Linked DNA regions of Stegostoma tigrinum. The protein of the gene in region 1 interacts with the protein of each later gene in a pairwise test. Links are inferred from orthologs where the notes say so. Each region holds a gene or a part of one and is shown in the gene's direction. Other genes may lie near its edges.

Region 1 (7,944 bases):
GAGAGATGGTGGTGATTGGGGGTGAGGTAGGGAGATGGTGGTGATTGGGGGTGAGGTGGAGAGATGGTGGTGATGGGGGGTGAGGTCGAGAGATGTGATGGTGGTGATTGGGGGTGAGGTCGAGAGATGTGATGGTGGTGATGGGGGGGTGAGGTAGAGAGATGTGATGGTGGTGATGGGGGGTGAGGTAGAGAGATGTGATGGTGGTGATTGGGGGTGAGGTAGAGAGATGTGATGGTGGTGATGGGGGGGTGAGGTAGAGAGATGTGATGGTGGTGATGGGGGGGTGAGGTAGAGAGATGTGATGGTGGTGATGGGGGGTGAGGTAGAGAGATGTGATGGTGGTGATGGGGGGTGAGGTAGAGAGATGTGATGGTGGTGATGGGGGGGTGAGGTAGAGAGATGTGATGGTGGTGATTGGGGGTGAGGTAGAGAGATGGTGGTGTTGGGGGGTGAGGTAGAGAGATGTGATGGTGGTGATGGGGGGGTGAGGTAGAGAGATGTGATGGTGGTGATGGGGGGGTGAGGTAGAGAGATGTGATGGTGGTGTTGGGGGGTGAGGTAGAGAGATGTGATGGTGGTGATGGGGGGGTGAGGTAGAGAGATGTGATGGTGGTGATGGGGGGGTGAGGTAGAGAGATGTGATGGTGGTGATGGGGGGTGAGGTAGAGAGATGTGATGGTGGTGATGGGGGGTGAGGTAGAGAGATGTGATGGTGGTGATGGGGGGGTGAGGTAGAGAGATGTGATGGTGGTGATGGGGGGGTGAGGTAGAGAGATGTGATGGTGGTGATGGGGGGTGAGGTAGAGAGATGTGATGGTGGTGATGGGGGGTGAGGTAGAGAGATGTGATGGTGGTGATGGGGGGGTGAGGTAGAGAGATGTGATGGTGGTGATGGGGGGTGAGGTAGAGAGATGTGATGGTGGTGATGGGGGGTGAGGTAGAGAGATGTGATGGTGGTGATGGGGGGGTGAGGTAGAGAGATGTGATGGTGGTGATGGGGGGTGAGGTAGAGAGATGTGATGGTGGTGATGGGGGGTGAGGTAGAGAGATGTGATGGTGGTGATGGGGGGTGAGGTAGAGAGATGTGATGGTGGTGATGGGGGGTGAGGTAGAGAGATGTGATGGTGGTGATGGGGGGGTGAGGTAGAGAGATGTGATGGTGGTGATGGGGGGGTGAGGTAGAGAGATGTGATGGTGGTGATGGGGGGTGAGGTAGAGAGATGTGATGGTGGTGATGGGGGGTGAGGTAGAGAGATGTGATGGTGGTGATGGGGGGTGAGGTAGAGAGATGTGATGGTGGTGATGGGGGGTGGTGGTGAGGTAGAGAGATGTGATGGTGGTGATGGGGGGGTGAGGTAGAGAGATGTGATGGTGGTGATGGGGGGTGAGGTAGAGAGATGTGATGGTGGTGATGGGGGGTGAGGTAGAGAGATGTGATGGTGGTGATGGGGGGGTGAGGTAGAGAGATGTGATGGTGGTGATGGGGGGTGAGGTAGAGAGATGTGATGGTGGTGATGGGGGGTGAGGTAGAGAGATGTGATGGTGGTGATGGGGGGTGAGGTAGAGAGATGTGATGGTGGTGATGGGGGGGTGAGGTAGAGAGATGTGATGGTGGTGATGGGGGGTGAGGTAGAGAGATGTGATGGTGGTGATGGGGGGTGAGGTAGAGAGATGTGATGGTGGTGATGGGGGGTGAGGTAGAGAGATGTGATGGTGGTGATGGGGGGTGAGGTAGAGAGATGTGATGGTGGTGATGGGGGGGTGAGGTAGAGAGATGTGATGGTGGTGATGGGGGGTGAGGTAGAGAGATGTGATGGTGGTGATGGGGGGTGAGGTAGAGAGATGTGATGGTGGTGATGGGGGGTGAGGTAGAGAGATGTGATGGTGGTGATGGGGGGGTGAGGTGGAGAGATGTGATGGTGGTGATGGGGGGTGAGGTAGAGAGATGTGATGGTGGTGATGGGGGGTGAGGTAGAGAGATGTGATGGTGGTGTTGGGGGGTGAGGTAGAGAGATGTGATGGTGGTGATGGGGGGTGAGGTAGAGAGATGTGATGGTGGTGATGGGGGTGAGGTAGAGAGATGTGATGGTGGTGATGGGGGGTGAGGTAGAGAGATGTGATGGTGGTGATGGGGGGTGAGGTAGAGAGATGTGATGGTGGTGATGGGGGGTGAGGTAGAGAGATGTGATGGTGGTGATGGGGGGTGAGGTAGAGTGATGTGATGGTGGTGATGGGGGGTGAGGTAGAGAGATGTGATGGTGGTGATGGGGGGGTGGTGGTGAGGTAGAATGACGGTGATGATGGACCCTGGTGGGGTAGAGTGATGGTGGTGATGGGTGTGAGGTAGAGTGATGGTGGTGATGGGTGTGAGGTAGAGTGATGGTGGTGATAGGGTGTGAGGTAGAGAGATGGTGGGTGGCGAGGTAGAGTGATGGTGGTGATGGGTGTGAGGTAGGGTGATGGTGGGTGGCGAGGTAGAGTGACGGTGGTGATGGGTGTGGTGAGGGAGAGTGAGGGTGGTGATCAGGGAGTAGTGAGGTAGAGAGACGGTGATCATGCGGGTGAGGTAGAGTGACGGTGGTGATGTGGACGTGAGGTAGAGTGATGGTGGTGATGTGGACGTGAGGTAGAGTGATGGTGGTGATGTGGACGTGAGGTAGAGTGACGGTGGTGATGTGGACGTGAGGTAGAGTGATGGTGGTGATGTGGACGTGAGGTAGAGTGATGGTGGTGATGTGGACGTGAGGTAGAGTGATGGTGGTGATGTGGACGTGAGGTAGAGTGATGGTGGTGATGTGGACGTGAGGTAGAGTGATGGTGGTGATGTGGACGTGAGGTAGAGTGATGGTGGTGATGTGGACGTGAGGTAGAGTGATGGTGGTGATGTGGACGTGAGGTAGAGAGATGGTGGTGATGTGGACGTGAGGTAGAGTGATGGCGGTGAGGTACAGAGATGGTGGTGATGGGGGGGTGAAGTAGAGAGATGGTGGTGATGGGGGATAAGGTAGAGAAAAGAAGGAGATGGGGGGGTGAGGTGGAGAGATGGTGGTGATGGGGGGTGAGGTGGAGAGATGGTGGTGATGGGGGGGGGGTGAGGTGGAGAGATGGTTGTGATGGGGGGGGGTGAGGTGGAGAGATGGTGGTGATGGGGGGGGGTGAGGTGGAGAGATGGTGGTGATGGGGGGGTGAAGTAGAGAGATGGTGGTGATGGGGGATGAGGTAGAGAAAAGAAGGAGATGGGGGGGTGAGGTGGAGAGATGGTGGTGATGGGGGGTGAGGTGGAGAGATGGTGGTGATGGGGGGTGAGGTGGAGAGATGGTGGTGATGGGGGGGTGAGGTGGAGAGATGGTGGTGATGGGGGGGTGAGGTACAGAGATGGTGGTGATGGGGGGGTGAGGTACAGAGATGGTGGTGATGGGGGGTGAGGTGGAGAGATGGTGGTGATGGGGGGTGAGGTGGAGAGATGGTGGTGATGGGGGGGTGAGGTAGGGAGATGGTGGTGATGGGGGGGTGAGGTGGAGAGATGGTGGTGATGGGGGGGTGAGGTGGAGAGATGGTGGTGATGGGGGGTTGAGGTGGAGAGATGGTGGTGATGGGGGGGTGAGGTAGGGAGATGGTGGTGATGGGGGGGTTAAGGTGGAGAGATGGTGGTGATGGGGGGGTGAGGTGGAGAGATGGTGGTGATGGGGGGGGGGTGAGGTGGAGAGATGGTGGTGATGGGGGGGTGAGGTGGAGAGATGGTGGTGATGGGGGATGAGGTGGAGAGATGGTGGTGATGGGGGGTTGAGGTGGAGAGATGGTGGTGATGGGGGGGGTGAGGTGGAGAGATGGTGGTGATGGGGGGGTGAGGTGGAGAGATGGTGGTGATGGGGGATGAGGTGGAGAGATGGTGGTGATGGGGGGGTGAGGTACAGAGATGGTGGTGATGGGGGGGTGAGGTGGAGAGATGGTGGTGATGGGGGGGGGTGAGGTGGAGAGATGGTGGTGATGGGGGGTTGAGGTGGAGAGATGGTGGTGATGGGGGGGGTGAGGTGGAGAGATGGTGGTGATGGGGGGGTGAGGTGGAGAGATGGTGGTGATGGGGGGGGGTGAGGTGGAGAGATGGTGGTGATGGGGGGTTGAGGTGGAGAGATGGTGGTGATGGGGGGGGTGAGGTGGAGAGATGGTGGTGATGGGGGGGGTGAGGTGGAGAGATGGTGGTGATGGGGGATGAGGTGGAGAGATGGTGGTGATGGGGGGGGGTGAGGTGGAGAGATGGTGGTGATGGGGGGGTGAGGTAGGGAGATGGTGGTGATGGGGGGGGGTTGAGGTGGAGAGATGGTGGTGATGGGGGGGGGTGAGGTGGAGAGATGGTGGTGATGGGGGGGGGTGAGGTGGAGAGATGGTGGTGATGGGGGGGGGTGAGGTGGAGAGATGGTGGTGATGGGGGGGGGTGAGGTGGAGAGATGGTGGTGATGGGGGGGGGTGAGGTGGAGAGATGGTGGTGATGGGGGGGGGGGGAGTGTTACTAATGGTTGCAATGGGGGGGGGTGGAAGATGGATTGAGTTGGGGGGGGGGGGTAGAGTTGATGCACCACCAGAAGAAAGGAAAGGGAATCTTACCTTGTCTTCCACCAATTATGGGATGTCAACGATGGAAGAGGAGGAGGAGGTGGTGGCAGGAAGTGACCTCACGGACCCAGGAAAAAAGGGGATGGGGTCTGGCGGAGAAAGCGGAAGTGACGCAGCCGCCGTTCGCAGGACCCCCCCCAAAAAAACAAAACCGTGTCCCCGCGTGTGTGTGTGTGTGGCGCGCGTGCCCGCCCCTGGGGGGGGCCTGGAAAAACGGAGAGAAACCGTTCCTGTTCCGTTTCAAGAAACCCACACATTTCTTCCCCCCCCCCCACCACCACCACCACCACAACACACACAAACGCAAACCCCCCACCTTTAGAATTCCGCCCCCCCCTCACACAACAACAAAAAAAAACATCGTCTCGTAGCAAGGTGAGGAGGAGGAGGAGGAGGAGGAGGAGGATGGGGGGGGGCGGTGAAAAAAGGCGCGCGGCGGGCGGGCGGCGCGCGGCGCGGGGTGGGGGCGACGGTTGACGGTTGAATTTCAAATTGGGTTTTACGGTTGGAAGCGGCGCGCGGCGGTTTGAAACGGACCTGGCGGCGGGGGGGGGGGGGCGGTTGCGGGCGGCCTCTCGCGCCGGCGGGAGGTGGTTGTGTCTGTGTGTGTGGTGGGGGGAGGGGTAGGGCCGCCATTTTAGGAGGGGGGAGGGGCAACTGGAAAACTAAGGTTGCGGGGTAAATAAATAAATAAAATAAAATAAATGACCTCGATCGCGGCGGGGGTCACGGTTTTCTTTCTCTTCACCCCCCCCCCCCCCCCCCCCCCCCCCAGAATTTCAAAAGCTCGAACGGGGCGTTTTCATCTCCGAAACAGCAACAGTTTTCATTTTTAATCCCTTTTATTAACTTGACACCCCCCCCCATAACAACAGTTTTGTTTAAATCCCCCTGTTATTAACTTGACACCCCGCCCAGCAACACTTTTCTTTTTTAATCCCCTGTTATTAACTTGACATCCCCACCACAAGTTTCCTTTTTAAATCCCCCGTTATTGACTTGACATCCCCCACTCACAACAACAGTTTTTGTTTAAATCCCCCTTTTTTTAATTAAATTGACATCCCCCCACAACAACAGTTTTCTTTTTAAATCCCCCTTTTTTATTAACTTGACACCCCCCACAGCAACAGTTTTCTTTCTGAATCCTCCTGTTATTAACTTGACATCCACCCCCCCAACAGTGTTTTCCTCTGACCCCCCTGCCCACCAATTCCCTCTTAATATATCCTTGCTCCTTCCAAAATGTTCTTTCTCCTCCGCCTACTTTAAAACCAGAAATTTCCCCTCTTCCCCCATTCCCTTTCTTAAATAAATCCCCTTTTCCTTTAAACATTCCCCTTCTCTACAAAGCTTATGTTTTTCTTAAATGTTTTCTCTCTCTTCCTCCTACCCTTGTTTTTTTTAAATATTCCCTCTCTTTTGACCTTCCTTTTCTTAAAAATTCCCTCTCCTCCCCCTTCCTTCCTTTTCTTAAATTCCCTCTCCTCTCCCCTTCAATTCTTAAATATTGCCTCTCTTCTCCCCTTCATTTCTTAAATATTCCCTCTATTCTCTCTCTTCCTTTCTGTTTTTAAATATGCCTTCTCTTCCCCCTCCCTTCCTTTTTATTTTAAATATCCTCTCTCTCTCTCTTCCCCTCCCGTTTTTTCAAAATACTCATTCTATCTACCCCCTTCCCTTTCTTCTTTAAAAATGTTCTATTTCCCTTTATTGAAATTCCTTTCCTTTGTTTTTTAAATATCCCCTCCCTTTTCTTTTTTTAGAACATTCCCCCCTCATTTTTTTAAATATCCTTCTCTGACTTCTTGTAAATATTTCTCCCTCTATTTCCTTCTCAAAATAGTTTCACCTTGCCCCTTCTTTCTGTTCCTTTTCTCTTTTAAATATTCCTTTCCTTTCCATACCCTCCTTTTTCTTTCTTACACTCAATATCTCCACCTTGTTTAAATATTCCCGGTCATTTTTAAAAATGTTCTCCCCTTTCTTCCTGTCTCTTTTAATATTCTCCCCTACCCTTTTTAACTTTCTCCCTCTTACCCCTTCCCCCTTTTTCAATATTGCTTTTCTTTTCCCCACTTCCTCTTCCTGCCTGTCTTTTTAATATTCCCTTGTATTCTTCACCTCCCCCCCCCCCCCCCCCGACATGGCTGACTGTGGGCATTTCCTTCTGGCTTGAAGACTTTTATGGGGTGTTTTCTTGTAGTGTTTTCCCACCACCTCCCCACATTTCCTGCACAAAAATTCAGACAAACAAAAAAAAATCAAGTAAATTCTTCTCACCCTATTCTACGCATGCATTTTTAAACTTTCTTCTTTCTTCTTTTTTTACTTATTCCACTCCAAAATGACCCTCTTTCGTATTCCTTTTCTTCTGTCTTCACTCTGAGGCCCTGTCAGGTCTTTTTTCGCTCATATCTTCCTTTGTGGTACAGTTTCTTCTTTCTTCCCTTTGCATTTTCCTTAAATGTATCACTTCATCTCTGCAAACTTTTCCCCCACAAAATGAAAATAAGGATTTTAACTAATTTTGAAAAGAAAAATTCCTCTCTTGTCCTGCCAAGAAGGTTTGCATTGATTTGGAAAAGGCAGGTCACTTTTACGGTTTGCGTGGTGGTGTTTATGGGGGGTGGGTGACTGTTGGCTGCAGGAGAGTGTTCCGATCCACGTGCCCCAGATTCGAGAAGCACGCGACAGTTCACTTAAAGTCCTTCAGGAGGTTTTGGGATTCCTTTCCAAGGCGACGTGGCAGAAAGATTAGAGAGGGAATCAGGCAAGTGCCCGGAATTTTTGTCGTTTGTAAAGTGCAAGGGTGAGGATATGCCGTGAGCAGGATAGCTGTTTCAAAGAAGCATGATGTTCTGAGTAGCATCTGCCTTCATTGGGTTTGCAGCAATTCGGGCGCGAATGGCCTCAATGGACTGTGTGCCTGTGAAGGATAAAGGATGGGCAGAAATTTTTTTTTGCCGTTTGTGGCTGGGAATCCCTGCCGTGACTCCCTTGGTAGATTTTCTTCATAGGAAATGTTGCCGCCACCACTGCGGATTGCTCCCTTTTCGCACCTTGCCGACTTAATCTTGTGTTTGGACCTTCTTGTTACCTTAGCTGAATGTTATGTAGCTCGTTGGTTCATTCTGTCGAAGTGAATGGAGGAGGGTGGCTTTACAGTTGCTGATGTTACAATGTTGTAATCTGGATGTTGGAGAGTTCCCAAAAAGATGTGAAATTTGCCTAAATGAGTTGAATGGAGGTGAGGTGAGGGCAAGATGATGTCTCAGAGCAATAATCTTCCAATAATCTTCACGCTGATCCAGTGAGCTTCTTCAGGTT
Region 2 (7,586 bases), on another chromosome or scaffold:
AGCACTGTGAATTATTCAATACCAGATGGCCTCAGCGGTTCAAAACAAAACAGTAGCTTCTGAAGGGCAATTAAAGAAGGACAACAAAGTCTTACCTTACCAATGATGCTCACACCCATGAAATTTAAAAAAAAATTCGTGACAGAGAATTATATATCTTTGAATACTAAGAGATATGAGCGATATGTGGATGTTGCAGGATGTAGCAATTGGGGAAAAAGACCAGCCAGGACTTTAATGATGGAGCAAAGGGCCAAAGGTTTCCTGTAGGTTTCTAAGTGCTATTTAGGGGTGTGATTTTGTGGAACATCTACTGCCACTCACCCTTTCCTCATGTTAACCATAATTATACATCAGTTGTGAAGTGTAGTGAATGGTTCTCAGGAATTGGCAGGTCACATGGACATACAAACAAGGAACAAGAGTAGGCCACTCGGCCCTTAAAACCAGTTCTGCCTTTCAATAAGATTGGGACTGATCTGATTTGAACCACAACTCCTCATTCCTGCATATCCCCCATAATCTTTCATTCTCTTGGTAATCAAGAAACTATGCACCTCCCACCTAAAAAATATTTAAAGATTCTGCATCTACTGCCTTTAGAGAAACAGAATTATAAAGAAAAATGTTTTAATCTTTTCCTTAAATGGGTGATCTTTTTTAAAATTATGATCCATATTCTCCTGCAAGAGGAAATATCTTTTCAACACCCACCTGGTCAAGTTCCATCAGGATCTTACGTTTCCAATGTATCACAGACTCTTCTAAAAACTTTAAAGAACACACGTTTTGCTTGTCTCGCCTTTCCTCGGAAGGCAATCCACTCATTCCAGGTATTAAGATAATAAAATTAAGCTAATAAAGCTAATAAACCTTCCCTGAATTGCTTCCAATATGTTAACATTCTTGCATGCACATGGTGACCTGTGCTGTACAATAATCCAAATGATGCAGTCTCACCAATGCTCTCTATAGCTGAAGTATGACCTCTGTACTCTCGCATTCAATTCCCCTAAAAATTAAGCCAAGATGTTCTAATCAATTTTCCTGATTACTTGTTGCATGTGTATACTGACATTCTGCAATCCACCCAGATCACACTGCAGCCTCTCACTATTTAGATAGTCTATTTTGGCAGGGGGAAAAAAAAACTATTTCATACCTCTCCACATTGTACACAATCGGTCAGATTTTTGCTAGTTCACAACTGGTTCATATCCCTTCTGTCCTCTTCACAGCTCACATTCTGGATTTATTTTTGGGTAATCAGCAAATTTAGCTACCATTCCTTCAGTGCCTTCATCCAAGCCATTTTTAAAACTTTTAAAATGTTAAGGCCCCAGCATTAGAGATAATAGGAACTGCAGATGCTGGAGAATCAGAGATTACAAGGCGCAGGGCTGGATGAACACAGCAGGCCAAGCAGTATCTTAGGAGCAGGAAAGCTGACATTTAGGCCCTTCATCTAGGCCCGAAACATCAGCTTTCCTGCTCGGCCTGCTGTGTTCATCCAGCCCTACACCTTGTTATCTAAGGCCCCAGCATTGTCTTCCATGGCACACCATCGATATCCTGCCAGTCTGGAAAAGACCCATTTATTCTTTCCTGCTAGCCAGCAAATCCTCTATTCAAGACAATATGTTACAGTCTTCATCATGAGCTTTTATTTTCCATTATCATATGGTTCTGGAAATTTAACACATCCACTGGTTACTTTTTATCTTGCTTCTTCAGAGAACTCCAAAAAATTAGTTAAACATGATTTCCCTTCGACATATTTAATTATAGCTTCTGTAAGTTTATTTATGGCAGATGTTAAGCTAATTAGTATATAATTTCCTCTTTTCTACCTGTCTCCCTTTTCGAATAATAGAGTTACATTTGCTGCTATTTGGAAAATTAAAACCAATGCTTAAACATTCTGACTAGCTGTACAAGTTAAAAGCAAAATATTTAAGGATGCTGGAAATCTGAAAAGAACACAGAGAATGCTGGAGAAACTTAGGTCTGGTGGCATCTGTGGTGAGAGGAAGAAGTTAATATTTCAGTTCAGCACCTCAAAACCAGCTTCACTTTTTAAGAATCAAAAGCAGAGTACTGGATAAACTTAGGTCGTCAGGCAATAGAGATGAAAACAGAGATAACATTTTGAGTCCAGTGACTGTCCAAGTTCATTCTGAAGAAAAGCAGAATCCTAACAGTGCAGATAGAGGCCATTGAGCCCATCAAGGCTATACTGACAGTGCGAACAGCATCCTGCCCAGACCCATTCCACCCCCCCATCCCTGCATTTTAACATGTGAATACAACTAGCCTGTACATCCCCAGGTACTGTGGGCAATTTAGCATGGCCATTCCACCCAACCCGCTTATCTTTGGAGTGTGGAGAAAACCCACACAGACAAGGAAAGAACATACAACTCTGCACAGTCAGACCAAATCTGGAATTGAACCTTGGCACTGTGAGACAGCAGTGCTAAATCACTATGCCACCCTTAAATGCAACTATGGGATGTGAACCCACATCATGTAAGTATTAGTTCAAAGCCCCTGCATTTCTAACCCAGGCACATCATCAACATACCAACACCACTCAGAATCACTGGACTAAAGAAGGGTTGCTAGGCTCAAAACATTACCTGTTTTTTCCTGCACAAGTACTGCTTGACCTGCTGAGTTTCTCTAGCAACTTCCTCCTTTGTGTAACATTTCTGGTAGTGCTGTTATTTATTTTACTTCACGCCTTTTAAGAACCTAGGGTGAAGCTGGGGATGGTAATAGACTAGTGGTATTATCACTGGGCTGTTAATCTAGAGACCTAAGTAACATTCTGGGGGTTAAAATAGTATCAGAGATAATGGGAACTGCAGATGCTGGAGAATTCCAAGATAATAAAATGTGAGGCTGGATGAACACAGCAGGCCAAGCAGCATCTCAGGAGCACAAAAGCTGACGTTTCGGGCATAGACCCTTCATCAGAGAGGTGGGGTCTAGGCCCGAAATGTCAGCTTTTGTGCTCCTGAGATGCTGCTTGGCCTTCTGTGTTCATCCAGCCTCACATTTTATTATCTTAACCATTCTGGGGGCCTTGTTCAAATCCCACCATGGCAGATGATGGAATCAGATGACTATAAATCCATTGCCAGTCGTTGGAAACAACTCATCTGGCTCACTAATATCCTTTATGGAAGGAAACTGCCATCCTTACCTGGTCAGGTCTACATGTGACCCAACAACAATGTGGTGGACTCTTAACTGCCCTATGGGCAATAAATGTTACCTGCTAAGTGACACCATCATCCTATGAATGAACGAAGAACAAAAAAAAATGGATCTGGGGACTTGTCAACTCACAGTTAAAACAATTAAATTATGTACCATTTCCCTGTTCATGGTAACTCTTGCAAGTTCCTCCCTCAGGTTAAATTCCTGGTTCACAGTTATTTCCAGGACCTTGAGCAACTTAGGGGAGGCAATAGTCCAGTGGTATTATCTCTAGAGTACTAATCATGAGATCCAGGTAGTGCTCAGGGGACCTTGCATTGAATCCCCTAACAACAGTCAGTGAAGTTTGAATTCAATTTTTTTTAAAAAAATCCAGAATCACAAGTCTAAAGATGAGCACAAAACCGTTGCCACTCACTGGGGAAAAAAAAATTACCAGGCTCAGTAACGTTCTTTTAGGGAAGGAAACCGCCAACCTCACTTGGCCTGGCATACATATGACTCCAGGCCCTCAGGTTGACTCTTTACAACTCGCTACACAATTAAGCCTAATCAGCAATACCCTCAGCCCGAATACTAGTTTAGCCTACATGTGAACCCAGACCTACAGCAACGTAGGTGACTCTGAAACTGCTCCCTCAGCAACTGGGAGAGGGCAATAAATGGTGGCCTTGCCAGGGACATCAACAAATCTCCAAAACCTATTATTCAACAGATGGGGCTTATCACAAGGCACTTTCTTGTGACTTACCGTCTTGCCTATTCCTCAACTCAAAGGATGCCTGCTGGTAACTCTTACTCACAGAAGCAAACAACACAACTTCACAGAAAGAAACGACAGCAGCTAAACTGGAAGCCCAACGGAGACGCGAAAGAAAAAGAATCCATTACCAAGATGGCGGCAGCACTGCACAGGAGTCACGTGCCCTGCGGGCGCCGGGGTCCTTGTAAACCAGCAGCACCACGTGAGTCATACCTTTTTTTTTCCTTTGCAGCTGCGCAGTGTGATCCACCCGCCCCCTAACCCGCTGGAGGAGGAAGCCAATGCCGCGCAGGTGCAGTGGCGTGGCCTCCCCGGAGACTCAGTGCCCCCCCCCCCAAAACAAGACGACCGGCCGGAGAGCGCATGCGCAACAAGCGGTTTCGCGAAGGAGAAGGCCGCTCGCAGTTGGTCGCCATCTTGTGCTGCTGTGTTCCTATTCGCCGCCGGGGCATTGTGTTTAATACCGGAGCCAATCAGAGGGGCAAAAGCGCGGGGTAAGTCCGGCAAATTGCTGCCAACAGGCTGCGAGCTGGAGTTGGACAGGAAAATGGGAGTGAGAAGAGGCAGTGATACGGCGTGGGGGTAGTTACTTATGACACCCCCCCCCCCTTTTTCATTCCCCTTCCATTTCGGCATCGGGATTGGATAGATCGAAAAGCGAATACATTCAAGAGTGGGGGGAAAAAAAATCACCGAGCGGGAAAGGGTTTTGGCGGGAAGCAAGCGCAGATTTTTTTTAAAAAAATTTCATTCCCGTCCTTTCTCTTTTTTTTTGTTCTGCCGCTGCTGTCTTTCTTTGCTTACCCCCATTCACCCTTTTCGGTCCGCTTTGCCGTTCACTCTTCTCGGCCCGCGTTCCCCACCCTCTCCTCCCCCCATCTCCCCTGTACAGGGGGTAAAATGGCGGCTGCGTGGGGTCGGGGTAAGGAAATGTCTGTTTCCGCCGCCCCGATCGCTCATGGGCCGTCAGTCGACGGTTGTTGCTTCAGGATGGGGGTCGATGTCGATTCCTCCTGACGTGATTAACGATTTCTTTTTAAATCGGTGTTAGTGTACGCACGGTATTCGCGCTCTGAAATGGCGGGTGAGACTGTCCGGTCTGGCAGTGCAGCCCGTCTTGTTCTCAATCTCTCACTTCGCAGGCTGTCTCTGCGCTACTGACTGGATACACCCTGGGTATTGATCCAGGTGGAAGGAGGTGCTGTTCCACCTTCAATTTCTTCACCACCCCTTGCTCCAGACTGTCCTTTCAAATCACTTGGTCATCTGTATCCTGCTCTGATACCTTTACTGTATGTGAGGAGCGCTGTGGGAATGCAAACTGTAACGCCTCGCAAATACAGAGTTATCATCAAAGATGCTACATTTCTTTGTGAAATGTCGGGAGGACTAATGACGAACATAGAGAAACTTTCAAATCTCCTGTTAACGGGGAAACTTGTATGCATGCATGCTGGTATGTTGGTGTGATCTTTCTAAGACCGATCTACTAGTCGCTATTAGACAAAATTTGTTAGAAATTTCTAACTTAAACTCCTGAAGGAAGTTGTCAGTTGTATAAACGTATTTTCATCTGTGAAAGTTGTTTGTCTGACATGCTGCACTTAAATTATGATGTTGTTGGTTTGTAAGTTTTGGGTGGGCAGGTGTCTGGCTCCAATCGTGATTAGTTTAGGTACCAACAATCTGGCGTTTAAATTTTAATTCCCAGTCTTTGTCCAGTAGTTTGCTTTAAGAGATTTGTTTTGCCCTTTAAAATTTTTGAGCTGACTGTTGTATTAAACTTTTTTTAAAAATATCATACATTTGGTATTTCCAAATCTATTTTGAAAGCTTTCACCTGGTTCTGAATCTGAAGATAAAGTTGGGAATTGATATGAATTTTAACTGTTAATGATAGCCACTTGAGAGTTATAATTAGGGTGTTAAATTTTCTACCTCTCTGAATAAGATGTTAAAATAAATTGATCTATTATAGGTTTATTAAACCTGGAAAATTTGAAGTTATGGATTGACCATTTCATGTTTAGGCATCTTTGTAGAATGCACTTCAAATTGTGCAGTAGTTGTTGGTAATAGAAACAATTGTTTAAGATGATGGAAAAGTATTGAAATAACCTTTTAAAAAGATTTTTACCTGTAGTATGTCAAGGCTTCCAATTAGGATTAACAGGATTGGATTGTCTGCTGGTTTGAAGGATGTTATTGCTTTAAGGTGATTCAGTAACAAAAATTGAACACTTGTATTCAGCGCAGTGATGACTTTGAAAAGTGGGTTTCATGTGAGTGTAGAAATTTGAAGCTGTCTTATTTGCCACACCCACTTTCATTGATGCTAAAAATGTATTGATCTCAAGCTTGATATGGATTCCCTCTATATTCAAATTGCATTTTTTAAAAAAAATCTAAAGTGCTTAAAACAAAAAGACTCTGGAAGCAATTGGAGCCTATGCTTTTCCAGCTCAATATATCATGGAATGCCTAAAATTTTAATTAATTTTTTTAGTTGGTTTAATGTCTGCATCCACACGCATTTGATAACTACTTACAAGAAAAGTAACAAACGAATTTCTGATATACATTATTTTTCAAGATTATCGTCGTCGTAGTACGACCACTACCATTGTAGTATCCCTGCATTGTGGAAACAGGCCCTTGGGCATAAAAAGTCGAGACAGCGCATCGGAGCATCACGCCCAGACTCATTCCCTATAATGCAACTAATCTACACATTCTGTACCCTACGAGCAATTTATCATAACCGATCAACCTAGTCTGCACATCTTTGGACTGCGGGAGGAAACCAGAGGACGCCCACACAGACACGGGGAGACTGTGCAAACTCCATGCAGTCGCCCGAGAGTGGAATTGAACCTGGGTCCCTGGTGCTGTGAGGCAGCAGTGCTAACCACTGAGCAAGATGTGAACATCTTTGAGAAGACCACTATTTAACTTTTGAACCCTAGTTGTCCTTGAAGCTGTTGAGTCATCTTTGAATGTATAGTATGTTTTAATGAAGGTTTCCACAATACAATGAGAAGGAGCTCTAGCAACAGTGAAGGAATGGTGATGTATCCAAGTGAGAATGGTGTATTTCTTGGTCCTGGTTTCCTTTGTGTCTGTTGTTCTTCGATGGCTGGGGTTCTGTGTGTGAAATGTGCTAATGAGGAAACTTTGGTGACTTGCCATGAGATAGTAGGAACTGCCAGTGCTGTAGTCCAAGATAACAAGGTGTGGAGCTGGATGAACACAGCAGGCCAGACAGCATCAGAGGAGCAGGAATGCTGATGTTTCAAGTCTAGACCCTTCAAAACATCAGCTTTTCTGCTCGTTCGTTATAATGTCATGACAGCAGCATTTAATATGTCTGTGGAATGGACTGCTTATCCTTGATAGTGTCAACTATACCCAAACAAGCAAATGCTTTGTATTGGAGAAGCTCAGCAGGTCTAGCAGCATTTGTGGTGAAAGAAGCATTTGACTATAAACATGGTTTCTGAAGTTCACGTGCAGCGTGTACATAAAAGGTTGAATTGAAACATTGACAAGGCTGCACAAAACCCCAGGATCTTAAGAGTGAAGAAGATACAACTAAGCA
Region 3 (8,393 bases), on another chromosome or scaffold:
TAGGTGGATTGGCCATGCCAAATTGTCCATTGTGTCCATGGATGCGCGGCCTAGCTGGATTAGATGGGAAATGCAGAGTTACACAGATGGGATAGGGTGGGGTGGGATGCTCTTCAGAGGGTTGGTGTGGCTTTGATGGTCCAAATAGTCTGCTTCCACACTGTCCGGATTCTATAAGTTATGCTTTCCTCTGAATTAACAACAACTATCAAACAATTATTCAATATTGTTCCACAGTCCAAACCTAATCTCGTATTCAAATAGGATCTTTCATGATCATAGGACATCGCAAAAGCTTTGCACCCTGTGACATATTTTTGAATTATAGTTGCTGTTGTAATGTCAGAAATGTGGCAGCCATTTTTTTTCTGAAAGCAACCTCCCACAAACAGTAATGTGACAATGACCAGAAAATCTATTCTTGCAATGTTGATTGGAGGTTAAGCATTTGTCAGGAGATCAAAGAAACGTCAGCTTTTGTGCTGCTAAGATGCTGCTTAGCTGCTGTGTTCATCCAGCTCCACACTTTGTTATCAAAGAAAAAGTTCCTACTCTTTTTTGAGGTCTTCATAGGAGATAGAAGAGTGGTAAATGGCATAACATCTCATCCTCCAGTGCAATGTTCCCTCAGTACTGATGCTTGACAGTGTAGTACTACCTCACTACTGCCTTTGTGGAGATAATCTTTGCTTTTGTGCTCAGGCTGCAGTGAAACTGAACTCATAACTACCCGAATCTGAAACAAGATTGCTACCTCTTAGCCACAGATTGGCTAGTAAGTACTAAAGATGCCCTAATACCACCCAACAATGTTAGCTAAAGTATCACTCCGACACATACTAATCATTCTGGTTTAAGGGGACAATACTGGAATCATTCCTTTCACACAAGTACTTTATACTACTTAACCCAACTGCAGGTGGATGCAGAAATCTGTTTTTATTGTTAATTCATGGGATATGGCTGTAATTGGCTGGACGAGCATTTATTACCCATCCCTATTTGTTTTTGATAAAATGGTGATGAGCTGCCTTCTTGTTAGAGAGGGAAATCCAAAATTTTGACTCAACAATAATGAAGGAATCACCAACTATTTTATGATGGTGAGTGGCTTGGAGTGGAACTGGCAGGTGGTGTTGTTCCCATGTATCTGCTGTCCACGTCCTTTAGATGGCAATACTTGTGCATTTATAAGTGCCCAGTGAGGAGCCTTGGTAAGTTTCTGTGATACAAAGAGTCATACAGCATGGAAACAAACCCCTTGGTCCAACCAGTCCATGCCGAAATTAATCCCAAACTAGTCCCACCTGTCTACTCCTAGCCCATATCCCTCCAAACCTTTCCTATTCACGTACTTAACCAAATGGTTTTAAAATGTTGTAATTGTACCCACATCCACCGCTTCGCCAGGAAGTTCATTCCACACACAAACTGCTGTTGAGTGTCAGTGGTGGAGTGGATATTTCAGTATGTGATGGCAATCAAGCGGGCTGCTTTGTCCTGTATAGTGTCAAGCTTCTTGACTGTTGTTGGAACCACACTCATCCAGGTAAGTGGGGAGTAGTTCATCACACTCCTGACTTGCGTCTTGTGGATCATGGATAGGTTTTGCGGAATCAGATGGTGAGTAACTCACTACAGTATTCCGAACCATAGACCTACTCTGGTAGGCAAGGTATTTACATAGCTAGACCAGTTCAGTTTTTGTTTAAATGGTAACTCAATGATGGTAATGCCTTTGAATGTCAAGGAATAACAGTTAGATTCTTTGATGTTGAATATAGTTAGTTCCGAGTATTTGTTTGGTGGAAATGTTTGTTGCCACTTGTCAGACAAATGTGAATACTGTCCATAAGACCATATGAAATGGGAGCAGAAATTAGGCCATTCGGCTCATCGAGTCTTTTCCACCATTCAATCAAGGCCGATAAGTTCCTCAACATGCTGTCCCTCCTTGATCCCCTTGATAATCAAGAACCTATCTATCTCAGTCTTAAATGTACTCAATGACCTGGCCTCCACAGCCTTTTGTGGCACTGAATTCCATAGATTCACCACTCTCTGGCTGCAGAAGTTTCTCCTTATCTCCATTCTAAAATGTCTTCCCTTTACTCTAAGGCTAAGCCCTTGGGTCCTAGTCTCTCCTACCAATGGAAGCATCTTCCAACATCCACTCTGTTCAGGCCATTCAGTATTCGGTAAGTTTTCATTAGATCCCCTCACCCTTCTAAACTCCAATGAATATAGTCTCAGAGTCCTCAAATGTCCCTCATATGTTAAGCTTTCCATTCCTGGGACCATTCTCATGAACCTCCTCTGAACCCGGTCCAGAGCCAGTACATCCTTCCTGAGATATGGGGCCCAAAACTGCACACAATACTCCAAAAATGGCCTGACCAGAGCTTATAAAACCTCAGTAGTACATCCCTGCTTTTATATTCAAGTCCTCTCAAAATAAATGCCAACATTGCACTTGCCTTCGTAACTACTGACTCAACCTGCAAGTGGACAGAATCCTGGGCTAGAACTCCCAAGTCTCCTTGCACTTCAGACTTCTGAATTTTCTCCCCATTCAGAAAATAGTCCATGCTTTTATTCTTCTTGCCAAACTGCATGACCTCACTTTCCCACGTTGTACCCCATCTGCCACTCCTTTGTCCACTCTCCTAACCTGTCCAAAGCCTACTGCAGCCTCCCCAGCTCCTCAATACTACATTCCCCTCCACCTATCTTTGTATCGTCTACAAACTTAGCCAGAATGCCCACAGTTCCTTCATCTAGATTATTAAGTATAAAGTGAAATGTTGTGGTCCCAACACTGACTCTTGTGGAACACCACTTGTCACTGGCTGCCATCCTGAGAAAAACCCTTTTATCCACGCTCTATGTTTTCTGCCAGACAGACAATCTTCTATCCATGCTAGCACCTTGCCTCTAAACCATGGACCCTTATCTTACTCAGCAGCCTCCTTCGCAGCACCTTGTCAAAGGCCTTCTTGAAGTCCAGGTAGATAATATCCATTGACTCACCTTGAACTACCCTGCTCGTTATTTCCTCTAAGAATTCTAGCAGATTTGTCAGCAATGTCCTCCCCTTGATGAAACCATGCTGACTTTGCCCTATTTTACCATACATTTCCAGATATTGAGAAATCTCATCCACTACAATAGACTCCAAATTCTTACCCACTAATTGGCCTGTAATTTTCTGTCTTTTGCCTCACTCTCTTTTTAAATATATCTTGCTGCAGTTGGACATGGATTATGTTAGTATCTGAGTAGTTGCGAATGGTGTTGAATATTGCACAGACATAAATGAATGACGGGAGGCCAATGATAATGCAACTGTAGATGGTTGAGCCCAGGACGCTGCCCTGAGGAACTCTGCAGAGATGTTCTGAATCTGAGATGACCAAACTCCAACAACTACAATCATCCTTCTTTGTGGACATATGACTGCAACCACCAGGTTTCCTTTTGATCGCCACTGACTCCAGTTTTGCTCAGGATCCTTTACATAACACTCACGTAAAATGCAGCCTTGATATTAAGAACAGTCACTATCACCTTATCTGTGGAATTCAGCTTTGTACATTTTGATCCAAGGCTGAAATGAGGTCAGCAGCTGAGTGGTCCTTGTGGAACCAAAACTGATCATCAGTAAGAGATAACAGTTTGGAGCTGGAGGAGCACAGCAGGCCAGGCAGCATCAGAGGGGCAGGAAAGTTGATGTTTCAGGTCGGTACCTTTCTTTTCTGAAGGGTCCTGAACCGAAGCTTCAACTTCCCTGCTCCACTGATGCTGCCACGCCTGCTGCGCTTCTCTACCTTCAGTGTTATCCCTAACTCCAGCACTAGCAGTTCTTACTATCTCTGATCATCAGTAAGCACATCTTGGTAAGTGCTGCTCAACAGCACTGTTGACAATACCTTCCATGACTTCACTAATGATTGGACAGTGGACTGAAGGGAAAGTAATTAGCTCGGTTAGAATTGTCTCGCTTACTACATACAGAACCTACCTTGGTAGTTTTCCACATTGTTGTCTAGATGCAGGTATCGGCTGCATGGGGAGGGTATTGCTAATCTTCATTTCTGAATCACTGCAATTGATGGGGGAAGACACATAACCAAAGCATTGTTAAGTGAGTTCCAGGATTTTAGCCCAGCCACACTTGCAGATCAGTGATATAGTTCTAAGTCAGGATGAGTGTATGGATTAGATGGAAACTTACAGGTGGTGCTATTCCTGTGCTTCTGCTGTCTTAGTCCTACTAGATACTACAGGTCACTTTTTGAGATGTTCTCCAAGGTGTCTTGGCAGAGTTGTTGCAGTGTCTCCATGGTACACATTGCTGCAACTGTGCATGCATAATGGAGATGCCAGTCAACTGGGCAGAAGGGAATATCACGAGGGGAGACAGCATCGGAGGGAGGAGCCATCAAGGAAATAGATAAAATCATGAGCAGCCCATTCAACACCTTGGAGCTTGCTTCACCATTCAATATAATCAGGACAAACCACTGAGTTCAATGCCCTAAACCCACCCTCTCCGCGTGTGCCACAAAAGCTCTATCTACTCTCTTCTTGAAAAACGCAACTTTGGTCCTCAACCATTTTCTGTGGTAGGGAATTCCACAGAATCACCCACTCTCTGCGTGAAGAAGCTTCTCCCTATCGCACACTGCAAGTTTTACCCCTTATTCTTGAGCTTTGACTCCTGATTCAGGACTCCGCCACCTTCAGGCATCTAATCTGTTCCATCATGTTAGAATTTCGCAAGTTTCTATCACGGAGGTGGAAGAAGGGAATATTTTGAAGGAGGAACAGCATGGCTGTAGTGGGAGGGGGCGGGGAAAGAACTCATGGTGTGCAAGAGAGTATGGCATGGGAAGAGGCGAGGTAAACTGCACTGCAAGAGAGTCGTGATTGAGACCGCGTGGGGCGGCTCTTCAATACTTAAGAGGAAGTAACATTGCAAATAAGGGTGCAGTTTTTAACCGCGATTATTATGCGGGTCTCTACTGGTCAGCAAATATCCAAACACCCCCAATAAAAACAAATTCAGGGCTGGGAAAGTTGCGCATGCGTACATATACCCCCGCCCGGCGTTGGATCCAAGCGAAGGGGGCCGCGGCGCGCACGCGTAGTAATCAAACGTTCCATTAAGGAACTATTTGCGCGTGCTCTCTTTCCTTTTCCGGAGTTCACGTTTGTTTGTTTTGTTTTTGTTCATCCTGAGTTACACACCCTGATCGTTCGGTGGGGGACAGAAAGCGTGTCTGATTTTTAAAACATAAACGAAACTGACAATAGGATGAGACGTTACATTCGGAACCGATTCAACAGTGCGTACCTGGCGCGACTCGGCTCAGCCCGGACTGGGAACGCGCTGGGGCGGTTGGAGTTTGAAATAGGGTCGGCGGCGGCCGCGCGCGGGTCTCTAGTTGTGCGCTTGCGCAGTTTGATGCAAAAGACGCCTGGCGGTAGCGGCGGGGATTCCCCACTGTCCACGGCGGGTGCGTGCACGCGCAGTTTCCGGAAGCTGGAGCGTGTTGTTGGGGGGAGATGGGGAGTTTAGCGACTGCGCACAAGTAGGTTGCTCCTTCCCTTTCACCCCCCCCCCCCCCCCCCGCTCCACCAGCACACATCCCTGCCGTTCCTCTGTCTGCGCCGGGAGCGTCTCAGTCAGAGAGAGAGAGAGGCTGACTGACTGTGTGAGTGAGTGACGCGGTGGAGGTGTAAGGGACTGACGCGGTGTTTACGTCTCGGTGTGAGTGTCCAGTGGCAGCAGAGAGAGCCGGGGACTTGAGGGAAATAAAACCGGTAAGCGAGATAAATCGAGAGAGAGATAGATGGGTTGGTGTGGGTGTGGAGGGGCGGTGTTGAGGAGGAGGAGGAGGTGGTGGTGTTGGTGAGTGAACAGCAGCTTGCATCTGAACAATGGCGGCTGACTTGTTAGTGAACAGGGCTCCTGGATTGGAAAGAAAGAGTGAGCGAGAAGGGTTTCTCACTCTTCCCCGTTTCTACTCCAGGAACACCCCCCAGCAATGTTTATATCGAAAAGAAAACACACCCCCCCCTTTCCCACAAACCAATCCTTCCCCCGCCCCCCACCCCTCGTTTTACAGAAAAGTCCCCGCCAAAAATCTTATGCATTAACATTTCTTAACCAACTACCACCACCACCCCCCCCCCAACAAACACCTCCCAGTTTTCGGTTTCTAAACACGTTTTAAGAAATGTAGCCACCAGGGAAACTGGCTTGTTCCTATTGCAACATCACTTTTTTTTTCTCTCTCTCAATTTGGTGTTTAAAATAAAATGGGCGTCGGACCGCTACTGTGAGCAAGAAGTGAGAAGATCACGGGTCGTTGTTTCCTGTGCCATGACTGTAATTTCTACACACGTTTGCTTTTAAATCGCCCCCCAAAAAATCGCGCAGTGCCCTGCCCGTGTTGGAATCTCGCTGTGCAAGAGCCCCATCTCCCCCGAATCCTGAGGTGCGGAAATGCATTTGAAACTCCACAAAACATGTTTCATAATATAAATTCTTTCAGCAGTACAGAAATCCACGCTTCTTGGATTAATAGTCTTCTAAAAAGTGAAAGAATGTAGTTCAACTACTGTTAGTGATCTCGTATATTTCCTACAACATATCCGCAAAATTGCTTGCGCCCATAATACATTTTCGCCATGATGAACGGTGCCACAAACAGCTATAGTTTTGTTTAAACAGTGAAACTGAAATAATGATGCAGATTAAAAGTTAACGAGTATGTTTCAACCCATGTGATCCTCCATGGATTTGTTCTACCAGTTCAGAATTAAAATGTTTAATGTAATAATTTGAAGGTAGTTGAAATATTTATTTTGTTTTATAGTAATCCTGTGTATCCATGTAGCATGAATTCTGAAACAATTAACCATGTGCAGGTATGCAAATCTTCTTTGCATATTTCCTGTGGGACCTTTGTTTTAAATGCTGCATTGGCCTAGTTTTCACTTTGCTGCTTAATTCAAGAATAAACAAAGGACTGAATTCACATAATATTGCTTCAGTTAGTTTTGCCATCAGGCCTTTTTGTTAAATGAAGCAATTGCTGTTCTCAAGACAGAATAGTCAGATTTTTTTTGGCTGAATTTTACATGATTTCTCTCCCTGAGGTCTTGACTTTATACAGCTAGGTGATGCTGTGTATTTTTGTTGGTTTGTAAATTTATATGGCCTACATATAGTAATGAATTAGAAACTTTACATTAATGTGGCCTTTTAAAAGGGACACATTTACTTGATTATCAGATCAAGACTTGATCATGGGAGTCATTTATCGAGGGTTTTAAAATACAAATAGGTTTCAAGTTAAAGTACAGTGTCTATTTTTCAGAATATTTTAATCCAGCAGTTATTTTATTGTAATGTATCAGATGGAGGTTTACATAAGATACTTTGTCTAGTTTGTAAACTGTAAATTGGAAATGCCAGAGGCAATGGTCAGTAAATTGGTGAGATTTCCAGAATTTGCTGCTTGGAGCCACAGAGTGGCTCGAACATGCGCTACACGTAGCATCACTACCCTGTTGCCAGATCTGCTCAGATCATAACCTTCATTGAGCCTCAATTTCTGCAAGAACTGCTTACCCATATCTGATTAGTCGGGATATTGGCCCCCCCCCCCATTCTTTACTCATCACATCCTTGGTCCTGGCCCTTCCACTCAAATGTCACTGTAGATGATTTTATAAATTGTTCTCTCTCCTCTCCCAGGAATTATCAACCTTCCCTGTTGAACAGAGAATCTAGTGTCATCTGTTTGCTAGCTTGATCCACTTTTGGATGAGTTTAAACTTCTTTGGTTCATCTAAAACTGTAACCTTCCCATCTCCTCCAATTGTTACATTTATCTGAACCAGACTGTTTCCAGTTTCTGCATTTTTGGGTCCAAAAGAAGGTCACCTACATAATCATTAAAAATGCCTGTCTCCGCCTCAGCCCATCGTTAGGTAAAATCTTCATATATGCTGTTGTCAATTCTGTATCCCATTCTCCACCATACTTAACTTGCGTTCATCCAAAAACTAGAGCTATTATTCCTGTCCCCGATATCTCCTTTGTTTCACTGGCCCTTTGATATTTCTTACTCCCTTGAAGACCCTTAGTAATTTTCTCAGTTCGGGGCTAAGTAAATGCATTTTTAATGACAAGTGTATGACTAAGTATTGTAAATTCAGGAGGTTGGGCTTGGAGATATGATGTGGCTGATGATACTGTTGTGTGTGAGATGTAATCTCTACTGTATTTTACACAAGTATGTGTCAGTATCAACAAAGCTCTATTTGTATGGATCCAAGTTTATTATGTGCTCAGTACCACATTTATTTCCTTCCTTTTG

The links.
Region 2: the proteins of pogzb (region 1) and nuclear transcription factor Y subunit alpha-like interact in binary tests that used the Homo sapiens proteins (3 or more experiments, as listed by UniProt). The two-hybrid records come from large-scale screens. The link is inferred for Stegostoma tigrinum from reciprocal best matches to the Homo sapiens genes POGZ and NFYA.
Region 3: the proteins of pogzb (region 1) and creb1b interact in a two-hybrid assay, tested with the Homo sapiens proteins (2 studies listed by BioGRID and IntAct). The link is inferred for Stegostoma tigrinum from reciprocal best matches to the Homo sapiens genes POGZ and CREB1.

The regions. Positions count from the first base shown.
Region 1 is NC_081400.1:4,827,226-4,835,169, reverse strand, and holds the start of pogzb (pogo transposable element with ZNF domain), read left to right. Parts: upstream 1-4,721; 5' UTR 4,722-4,989; intron 4,990-6,849; exon of another isoform or gene 6,850-7,387; intron 7,388-7,944. UniProt on the Homo sapiens protein: Plays a role in mitotic cell cycle progression and is involved in kinetochore assembly and mitotic sister chromatid cohesion.
Region 2 is NC_081374.1:9,815,097-9,822,682, forward strand, and holds the start of nuclear transcription factor Y subunit alpha-like, read left to right. Parts: upstream 1-4,350; 5' UTR 4,351-4,482; intron 4,483-4,507; exon of another isoform or gene 4,508-5,444; intron 5,445-7,586. UniProt on the Homo sapiens protein: Component of the sequence-specific heterotrimeric transcription factor (NF-Y) which specifically recognizes a 5'-CCAAT-3' box motif found in the promoters of its target genes.
Region 3 is NC_081360.1:14,408,245-14,416,637, forward strand, and holds the start of creb1b (cyclic AMP-responsive element-binding protein 1b), read left to right. Parts: upstream 1-5,169; 5' UTR 5,170-5,348; intron 5,349-5,356; exon of another isoform or gene 5,357-5,440; intron 5,441-5,522; exon of another isoform or gene 5,523-5,594; intron 5,595-5,628; exon of another isoform or gene 5,629-5,826; intron 5,827-6,353; 5' UTR 6,354-6,503; intron 6,504-8,393.